Linked DNA regions of Xenopus tropicalis. The protein of the gene in region 2 interacts with the protein of the main gene of each other region in a pairwise test. Links are inferred from orthologs where the notes say so. Each region holds a gene or a part of one and is shown on either strand. Other genes may lie near its edges.

Region 1 (4,248 bases), on a different chromosome or scaffold from region 2:
ACCAGCCTGGCAGGGCAGGGGGGGGGGTTGGGCAGGTACCACAGACAGACCAGCCTGGCAGGGCAGGGGGGGGGATTGGGCAAGTACCACAGACAGACCAGCCTGGCAAGGCAGGGGGGGGGGGATTGGGCAGGTACCACAGACAGAGGCCTGCCTGGCAGGGAGGGGGGGATTGGGCAGGACCCACAGACAGAGGCCAGCCTGGCAGGGAGGGGGGGGGGGATTGGGCAGGTACCACAGACAGACCAGCCTGGCAGGCAGGGAGGGAGGGGGGGGATTGGGTAGGTACAACAGACAGAGGCCAGCTTGGCAGGGCAGGGGGGGGGAAGGATTGGGCAAGTACCACAGACAGACCAGCCTGGCAGGGCAGGGGGGAGGGATTGGGCAGGTACCACAGACAGAGGCCAGCCTGGCAGGGAGGGGGGGATTGGGCAGGTACCACAGACAGAGGCCAGCCTGGCAGGGAGGGGGGGTTGGGCAGGTACCACAGACAGAGGCCAGCCTGACAGGGCAGGGGGGAAGGGATTGGGCAGGTACCACAAAGGCCAGCCTGGCAGGGAGGGGGGAAGGGATTGGGCAGGTACCACAAAGGCCAGCCTGGCAGGGAGGGGGGGGGGGTTGGGCAGGTACCACAGACAGACCAGCCTGACAGGGCAGGGGGGAGGGATTGGGCAGGTACCACAGACAGAGGCCAGCCTGGCAGGGAGGGGGGGATTGGGCAGGTACCACAGACAGAGGCCAGCCTGGCAGGGAGGGGGGGTTGGGCAGGTACCACAGACAGAGGCCAGCCTGACAGGGCAGGGGGGAAGGGATTGGGCAGGTACCACAAAGGCCAGCCTGGCAGGGAGGGGGGGGGGATTGGGCAGGTACCACAGACAGAGGCCAGCCTGATTGTGACTGATGGCCAAATACAGATTTGCAGATATAATAAACTCACTCACAAAACCCTCATTTATTTCTGTTGGAATTGGCCAGAAACTCACAGGTCAGGCCACTGACACTAAATGAATGAGGGGTGATTCTTTGTGTTCTGTCACCCACCTGCCCACCAGGTACTGTAAGTTGCTTGGACAACAAAATGACTTGAATTCCCCCCCTCCTATGTGCCTTTGCTTTATTGAGAAATATATTGGTTTTCTCTGATCCCAAGGCTTTGTGTTCCCTGCAGGTGCTCCCCAGATAACACAGGATGGCACGTCGTCCACGTAACAGCCGTGCCTGGCGTTTCGTTCTTAGTGGTGTGCGCAGGGATCAGGATGCCCGCTCTCCAACCTTACCAGCAGAGGAGGAAGCATGGGGTTATGACTCTGATGGTCAGGTAAGTGCAAGGAATCTTGGAATTCAATAGATAGTGAATACTATGCCCCCGATGGTAAATTATAAGGATATTATAAGTCACCAAGGAGTTCCATAGTGAGAAAAAGGCACAGGCTGTTATGCAGGTTACATAAGGGCAAGTGTAAATTGCTGTTGGGCCCAACAAGGGAGAGTTACTAGGGGGCCATGGTACAGGTGTGGGATCTGTTATCCAGAAATTATCTGAATTACAGGAAGGCCATCTCCCATAGACTCCATTATAAACAAATAATACTAATTTTTACAAATATTTTTCTTTTTCTGTATAATAATAAAATAGTGCCTTGTACAAATAGATATAAGATATAATTAATCTTTATTGGTGGCAAAACAATCCTATTGAATTTATTTAATGTTAGACTTAAGTTCTGGAGATCAGAAGGGACAGAGAGACCCCTTATCTGGAATACCCCAGGTCCCAATCATTCTGGATAATGGGTCCCATAGCTGTATATGGTTTGACCCTTACCTTGTCGGCAACAAGAAAGCAGATCAGCCATGAGATTGGACTTTTATTGATACAAAAACCATTTGATACTATTCATCTTCCTGTCTGTTCCTTAAACCGCAGCCTGGTTGCTATGGAAAGTTGGACCTTAGCAACTAGATAGCAGAGTAAATTCCAAAATGCAGAACTGCCAAGCAATTAGTAAAATAATTGGAAAAGACTAAAATATAAAGCCTGCAACATGTTTTAGACTGATGATTGTAAAAGGCAAACTCTCTCTTTGCAGCACAGTAACAGTGACTCTGACACAGACCTGCTTCACTTGCCCCCCTCCATCCCTAGCGCTGTGCCTGTGACGGGAGAGTCGTACTGCGATTGCGACAGTCAGAATGATCCCTATTGCTCCAGCCTGCACACTTTCCATCAGATCAAGAGCTGCCAGTGTGGAGAGGAAGACAACTGTAAGAACAAAAGCAAACTGAAATCTCTTCTCCTATACATCCCCTTTGTACATCCCCTAGCCAACATCTCATTTCTTTCTTTACTTATAGACTTCGACTGGGTGTGGGATGATTGCAGTAAATCCACGGCGACCGTACTGAGTTGTGACAACCGGAAGGTCAGTTTCCACATGGAGTACAGCTGCGGCACCGCGGCCATACGCGGCAACAGAATGCTCACCGAAGGGCAGCACTTCTGGGAGATCAAGATGACATCCCCAGTCTATGGCACAGATATGGTATGTACCAAAAGGCTTTCCTCTTGCACAGAGTCAAGGTTATGTGATTGTGTTCCCAAACAACACTGGGTGCTTAGCATTGCCTTTACATGAAAAAGTACAAAGAAAAAAAATTAACCCATTTTGCATAAAAAACAAGGACAAGAACAACTTTAGCCATCTGTTTTACTGCAAGTAGTCTAACACCTATATGTAATAAAAGGCACTATGTTTGCCCAGTAGTAGTAACCTATATCAGCTAATAAGATGTTGGCTTCTAAACAGGTGCTATGGGTTACTGCTCCTGTGCAAACTTTTATTACATAACCCCTTAAGTTTTTTCCTGGTCCAGTGGTCTCAGTTGAAGAAAACCGTGGAAAAAAAATAGTGAAATAGACTTTCCTTTTCATTTAAAAGTATGAAAGTATCCATAAATATATAGTGCAAATACAACACACACACACGTTTTCTGCTTTGACAATCCTCCTAGGAAAACTATGTCATAATACTTAGCTTTCCTGTATGAGAAATCCATTCCCGTTTCAGCAAAATCAATCTGTACGGACCTGGCTTTGCGCATGGGGGCAGTATTATGCTGAAACAGAAAAGAGCCTTCCCCAAACTTTTGCCACAATGAAGGGAGCATGGAATTATCAAGAGTGTCATTGCTGTTGTGCTTTTTACTTTTAGATGGTTGGCATTGGGACTTCCGATGTGAACCTAGATAAATATCGTCACACGTTTTGCAGCCTTTTGGGCAAGGATGCAGAGAGCTGGGGACTCTCTTACACAGGTAAATTGTTGCAATAAAAAAAGGTACAATTTCTGCATAAGTTTGGAAATTTCAAATGTGCCTTTGTAGCAGGCCTCATTCACCAGTTAGATGCAAAAGGCACTGTTTCATTCTAAAGGTGGCCATACACAGTAGGATTCGCTCATTTGGCAAGGTCACCAAACAAGCAACTGTTCCCCCTAAACCAATGAGCTGATGCTGTGGCCCCGATCTGACTTAAAAATCAAACCTACTTGATCGATACCTGGCCAATTTTCAGCCAGATATTGGTCAGGTAGGGCCGTCGGGGGTCCCCATACAGGGGCAGATAAGCTGCCGACTCAGTGTAAAGGACGCGAATCAGCAGCTGAAATCTACCTGTGTATGGCCACCTTAAGTCACTAGAACTCTCACTAATGATCCAGTTGCACTTTTGTTAGTCTTCCAGATTGCAAACCCAGTACCCCTTTGTGTACAGTAGATCAAACTGCGCAGTACTTAGGGCCAGGATAAACTGGACATTAAGGGCCAATTAAGTCTGATTAGAATATCTTGAGATCTGTTACACTGCAACAATTCAATAAAAATCAATTAATTTTACTTTCTATTAGGCCTTCTCCAGCACAAGGGAGACAAAAGCAACTTCTCCTCACGCTTTGGCCAAGGCTCCATTATTGGAGTGCACCTGGACACATGGCATGGAGTGTTAACTTTCTATAAAAACAGGAAATGCATCGGTGAGAATCATCTGCTTTTTTTCCATCTGTTTGTGCCAGGCTCTAATTATTTTTAAAGTCGGATTATTTACTGGCAATAGCCATACATGATGTGCTCCGGTAAGCTAGTTTCCTAGAATCTCATTGGAGGGAAAAGGACAACTCTGGTTGGCTAATGACCACACTGGCCTGTGTAAGCAGTAAGTCAGTGCTGTCCAACTTTTGTGGAGGGCTGATA
Region 2 (4,403 bases):
TCTGGTCAACCTAGTGCCCAAATTAGTCCTCTTTGTTAACAACAAACACTGCACGCTGCTTTTTATGTCATACCTGTTTGGTGATCGATTTTATTAACCCTCCAACAGCAGGTCATTTTTTTTGCCTATAAACACATATCATTTTCAGTTTCAATTACAACATTTACAAATAACTATTAAAATAACTGAAAATGATCAGTAAGTTATTTTAGAAAGATACTTAGAATTGCACTCTAATTTGTTTCTTTGTCTGCAGTTCCCCTCTAATCCAAGTTTCAGTAAACCGTCTCCACCAACACCACTATAGAAAGGAGTAATGTTATTTAGCATCTTCATTAACCTGGTTCTTGCCAAGAAAACCTCTTTTATAATGGTTCCCTATTTGTCCTGCTCATCATTTCCAGTTATTTACTCCTTCTCACTTTCCAAAGACATCAAAGAATTCCTTGGAACTACAAGTACTACCTTTAATGTTTTGTACCTGTAAGACTGCTGGGTATTGCAGTCCTCTGTGCCAATAACTAGTTTACAGAGGCCCTAGTTAATGCTTCAGCAGAAAGAAAGAGAATCTCCAGCCAATAGCTTGCGTTCTGCCATCAGAGCCAGGGACAGGTAAAGGGACCAGCCAGGAGAGGAGAGAGGTGCTGGGAGTTTTAGGGGCTGCCAGTTTGTGTGCCTGCATGTTCTGTGACCAGTGATGTGGAAACATCTAGCAATTTAGGCGCTCCTCAGTCCATAAAAGCCACACAAAGTCTCTGTCCCTTTTCCTTTTAGAGCACACTTCAGTGAGCTGGCAGGAAAATGAAAGGCTACAGAACTTCACTTAAAGTTGTCCATTAACTGGCAAAACACGGGTTAAAAGCAACTCAGAATTCATAAGGAACCCTGCGTCTCCTTTTACTGTAGATTTCTCCTGATCAGGATGGCTCATAGGCTGCATCCCAGGATCACACTGGCTGCTGGGATCCTGCACACACTCCCTCCAGGGAACAGTAGGAGGCAACTCCCAGCAGGCTGAACACTGCAATGTTTCCCCTTGCAGATTAATAGCAGTTTCTCTGGCAGGTCACAGAATAAGCTGGAACACAAACTGGCAGCCCCTGAGTCTCCCAGCACACCTCTCCTCTCCTGGCTGGTTCCTCTTCCTGTCTCTGGCTCTGCTAGCTGGACTCAGACTGTCCCTCTGATGATTGGCTGGAGAGTCCCTTTCTTCCAGCAGAGTGAAACAGTAACTAGTTCCTCTGTAAACTGTAATGGATGGCACAGAGGACTACAGTACCCAGCAGTCTTACAGGTACTAAGCATTAAGGGTGCTACACTTAGATTAACTGAATTTCCTGTCCCTGTAATGGAACTATATTTAGGGACGAAAACATTAAATCAGAACAATTTGTAACAGAAGGAAAGAATTTTGGAGCTGAGCAAGCGGGTGAGGAACAGGAGAATAGGAGGGGTTAGAAGAAAGGAATTTGCATTTCATAAGAGCTTTGACCAATGAAATTGTACTGGGCGTGGTTATGGTGATTGGAGCTTTTGCAGGGAGCATGCGTCCATGAGCGGGTAACAAAGCAGATTGCCAGTCACATTATTTGCTGGTAGCCAGATCAGGGCACATCTGCTGGAAAGCTTTGAAGCTGGATTGTACTATCTGAGAGCTGAGATCGTTGCAGGCTCTGAGTGACACGCACAATCGCTGGGTTTGCACATACAAAATCGTGGAATTTAAGATCAGATTGAGCTGTGTGAGCCCCTCTTCTGCTGAGAGCCGTAAGTACATGCATTTCCCTGGAAAGGTTCGGCATCCTGTGCTTGGCAGGCTGGGCCAATAGATTGAATGAATTGGGGTGGCATTTCATGTCGATTTTGAGGAAGGAGAATGGATGGGTGGTTGTGGGCAGTGGCTGCAACACAACCGGGGTCCTGGCATCTCACCAGCTGACTGTACTGTCCCACGGGGTCCAACACTGGGTGCCAGGAGATTCCCAGCTGTGCGCTCTGAGACGCATCCCTTTGCTAATCACAGTGCCGGGCATTTCAGTTAATGCTGAACCTGCGATCTTCCTTCCAGCTCCTAGCATGGTATCAGGGGATGCTGGGGGCTGTAGTTTCAAAGGTTGGATGGTCAGGACATTAACCCTTTGCTAGACAGAGACCAGCGCTTCTCTCTCTATGCAGAATTCAGAGAAGCTTCTAAAGTGTCTGGTTCTGGGATTTTATGCCGTTTGCTTGAGCCACGGAATCAATACTTTTCCTTTATGTCTTAGCTGGGCCTATGTACATGCTGACTAACAGCTCTCTCTGCTAAATTCATCTATTGCTGCTGTGTGGCTTTAAACTATCTCACCCATGCAGATACCATCCTAATATGTATGTGTACACCCACACAAATTCCATTCACAGTATACCTCTGCCAGTGTACACACCCACATAGATGTGCCACATTGTGCAAACCCATGTGGATATCTCCTCCATGTACATTTCCATGATTCAACGTCAAAGTGAACTTCACCAATACCTATGACATCTAGTTTGTACCCCTATACTCCACCCATTATATGCACCCACATGGATTTTATCCGAATATGCATCTTCCAGCAAACATACCCACAAACATACCTTTTAATATATACATCTGAAAATGTACTCACCAAAACAATCTCAATTATATACACACATATAAAGTTCACTGAATGCACAGCACTTGATTTTTAAAATGACAGTTTTATTGCAGAGTCATCTCTTAACTAAAATAATTCATACAGGCAACGTTAATTCAGCCCTTCCTCAAGCCAATATATATATATATATTAGTTTTTCCCACATATGCATTTTACTTTATACTCATACACAGATATCATCCATAGATTCTCACAAATGTACATGTACACTTCACAGATTTACTCTACATGTGGATTTCCTAATGCACACATGCAATCTGCATATCCATCTGTCTGTAACCAACCAGCCAAATTACTTTCACATATACATCCCCTAATTAAAACACCTGTAAGATTTCATTTGGTGTCATGCACTGTACATATTCAGGTGAATCTGATTCAAATATACACCTAGTGCAAACAGCTCACAATTAACTTTTTTTTAGCATTAGGATGTACCATATAATATAGGTATATATACAGCCAGATTTCTTTGCATACTCATCCCCAGTGTACATTAATTTTGTGTACATACACAGCTACTTCACTTTTCAAACACGCATGCAAAGTGTGCACTACCAGACTCTCTGCTTCCACCTGGTCTGTTTATATACACAGCTGGGTTACTTGCACATATATGTGTAAGAAAGTTTATATTGATATTTGTAACACCATGTCACTACATTAAATAGATGATTATCTAATTGTTACACTCAAAGAAATGCAGTGATATGTTATGATTGCTTTCTTATATTATGCCTTCAAGGGTAGGTCTGGCAAGTTTTGGCTTAGCTGGCAAGGAAAATTAATTGGCCCTTAAGCCAGTGGCACTAGCCCAGACCATGGCCAACCCATTAAGGATCATTTTTCAAACCCATACAGTATAATAGTTTTGCGACTCAAACATTAATGTTTCAGCAAATGTCTCCCTTTTTCAGCCTTCACTTTTGTGTCTCCTAGTATATACACATAAATGCATTTTAACTGCACATATACATCTCCCAGTTACACACCCAAGCAAACATGAAAATTTAAAGGCCCACATGAAGCCTAACCCTTGGATACGTTTCCAATTGTACACTGGCAGACTTCCTGTAGTGTGTACTAAGTAAAGGAAATGCTTGCTCCTCCCCTGAATTGTATATGAGCTTGGCTTTTAACAATCTGTTTTCTTGGATACTCTCTAAGACAATGCTAATTTAGCAGTTTAAATTACAGTGTTAGATGCACCCAGAGGACAAAAGTTTACCCCATATGTAATGACTGGTGCAATGTTTGCCCAGGTGCAGTAACCAATATCAACTAATATACCTTAACTGTGCCCATATACATAACTGTTATTGTGCCCACTCACTTCAACTAAACTTTACTCAAATACATACCACACCTAGATTTTTCCTTAGATACCATACAGTGTGCGCACTTACCCAGTATTTGGCCATCTAAATAGCTCACAGCATGCCCTCTTATCCAGACTTTACCCATCTGAATACCTCACAATGTGACTGTTCACCCAGGGATTACATTTACAGCATTCCCTCACACCAAAATGTTACCGTTATGAAAAAAAAGTGTCCTGTTACCCATAGACATATCTCATAGTTTACCTAATCACACAACCAAACAATCAAACACCTAAGCACCCAGATGTTTACTTCATACACCTTTACCAAGGCATCTTTATTGCTCTCTAATGCATCAATATTCTAGTGCAATACTTCAGGAATAGTTTACTCCCTATAAAAA

What was found.
Region 1: the proteins of numbl (region 2) and spsb3 interact in binary tests that used the Homo sapiens proteins (3 or more experiments, as listed by UniProt). The two-hybrid records come from large-scale screens. The link is inferred for Xenopus tropicalis from reciprocal best matches to the Homo sapiens genes NUMBL and SPSB3.

Annotation. Positions count from the first base shown.
Region 1 is NC_030685.2:21,435,354-21,439,601, forward strand, and holds the start of spsb3 (SPRY domain-containing SOCS box protein 3), read left to right. Parts: upstream 1-1,166; 5' UTR 1,167-1,189; coding exon 1,190-1,318; intron 1,319-2,090; coding exon 2,091-2,265; intron 2,266-2,355; coding exon 2,356-2,543; intron 2,544-3,212; coding exon 3,213-3,315; intron 3,316-3,905; coding exon 3,906-4,031; intron 4,032-4,248.
Region 2 is NC_030684.2:78,385,714-78,390,116, reverse strand, and holds the start of numbl (numb-like protein), read left to right. Parts: upstream 1-1,351; 5' UTR 1,352-1,767; intron 1,768-4,403. UniProt on the Homo sapiens protein: Plays a role in the process of neurogenesis. Required throughout embryonic neurogenesis to maintain neural progenitor cells, also called radial glial cells (RGCs), by allowing their daughter cells to choose progenitor over neuronal cell fate.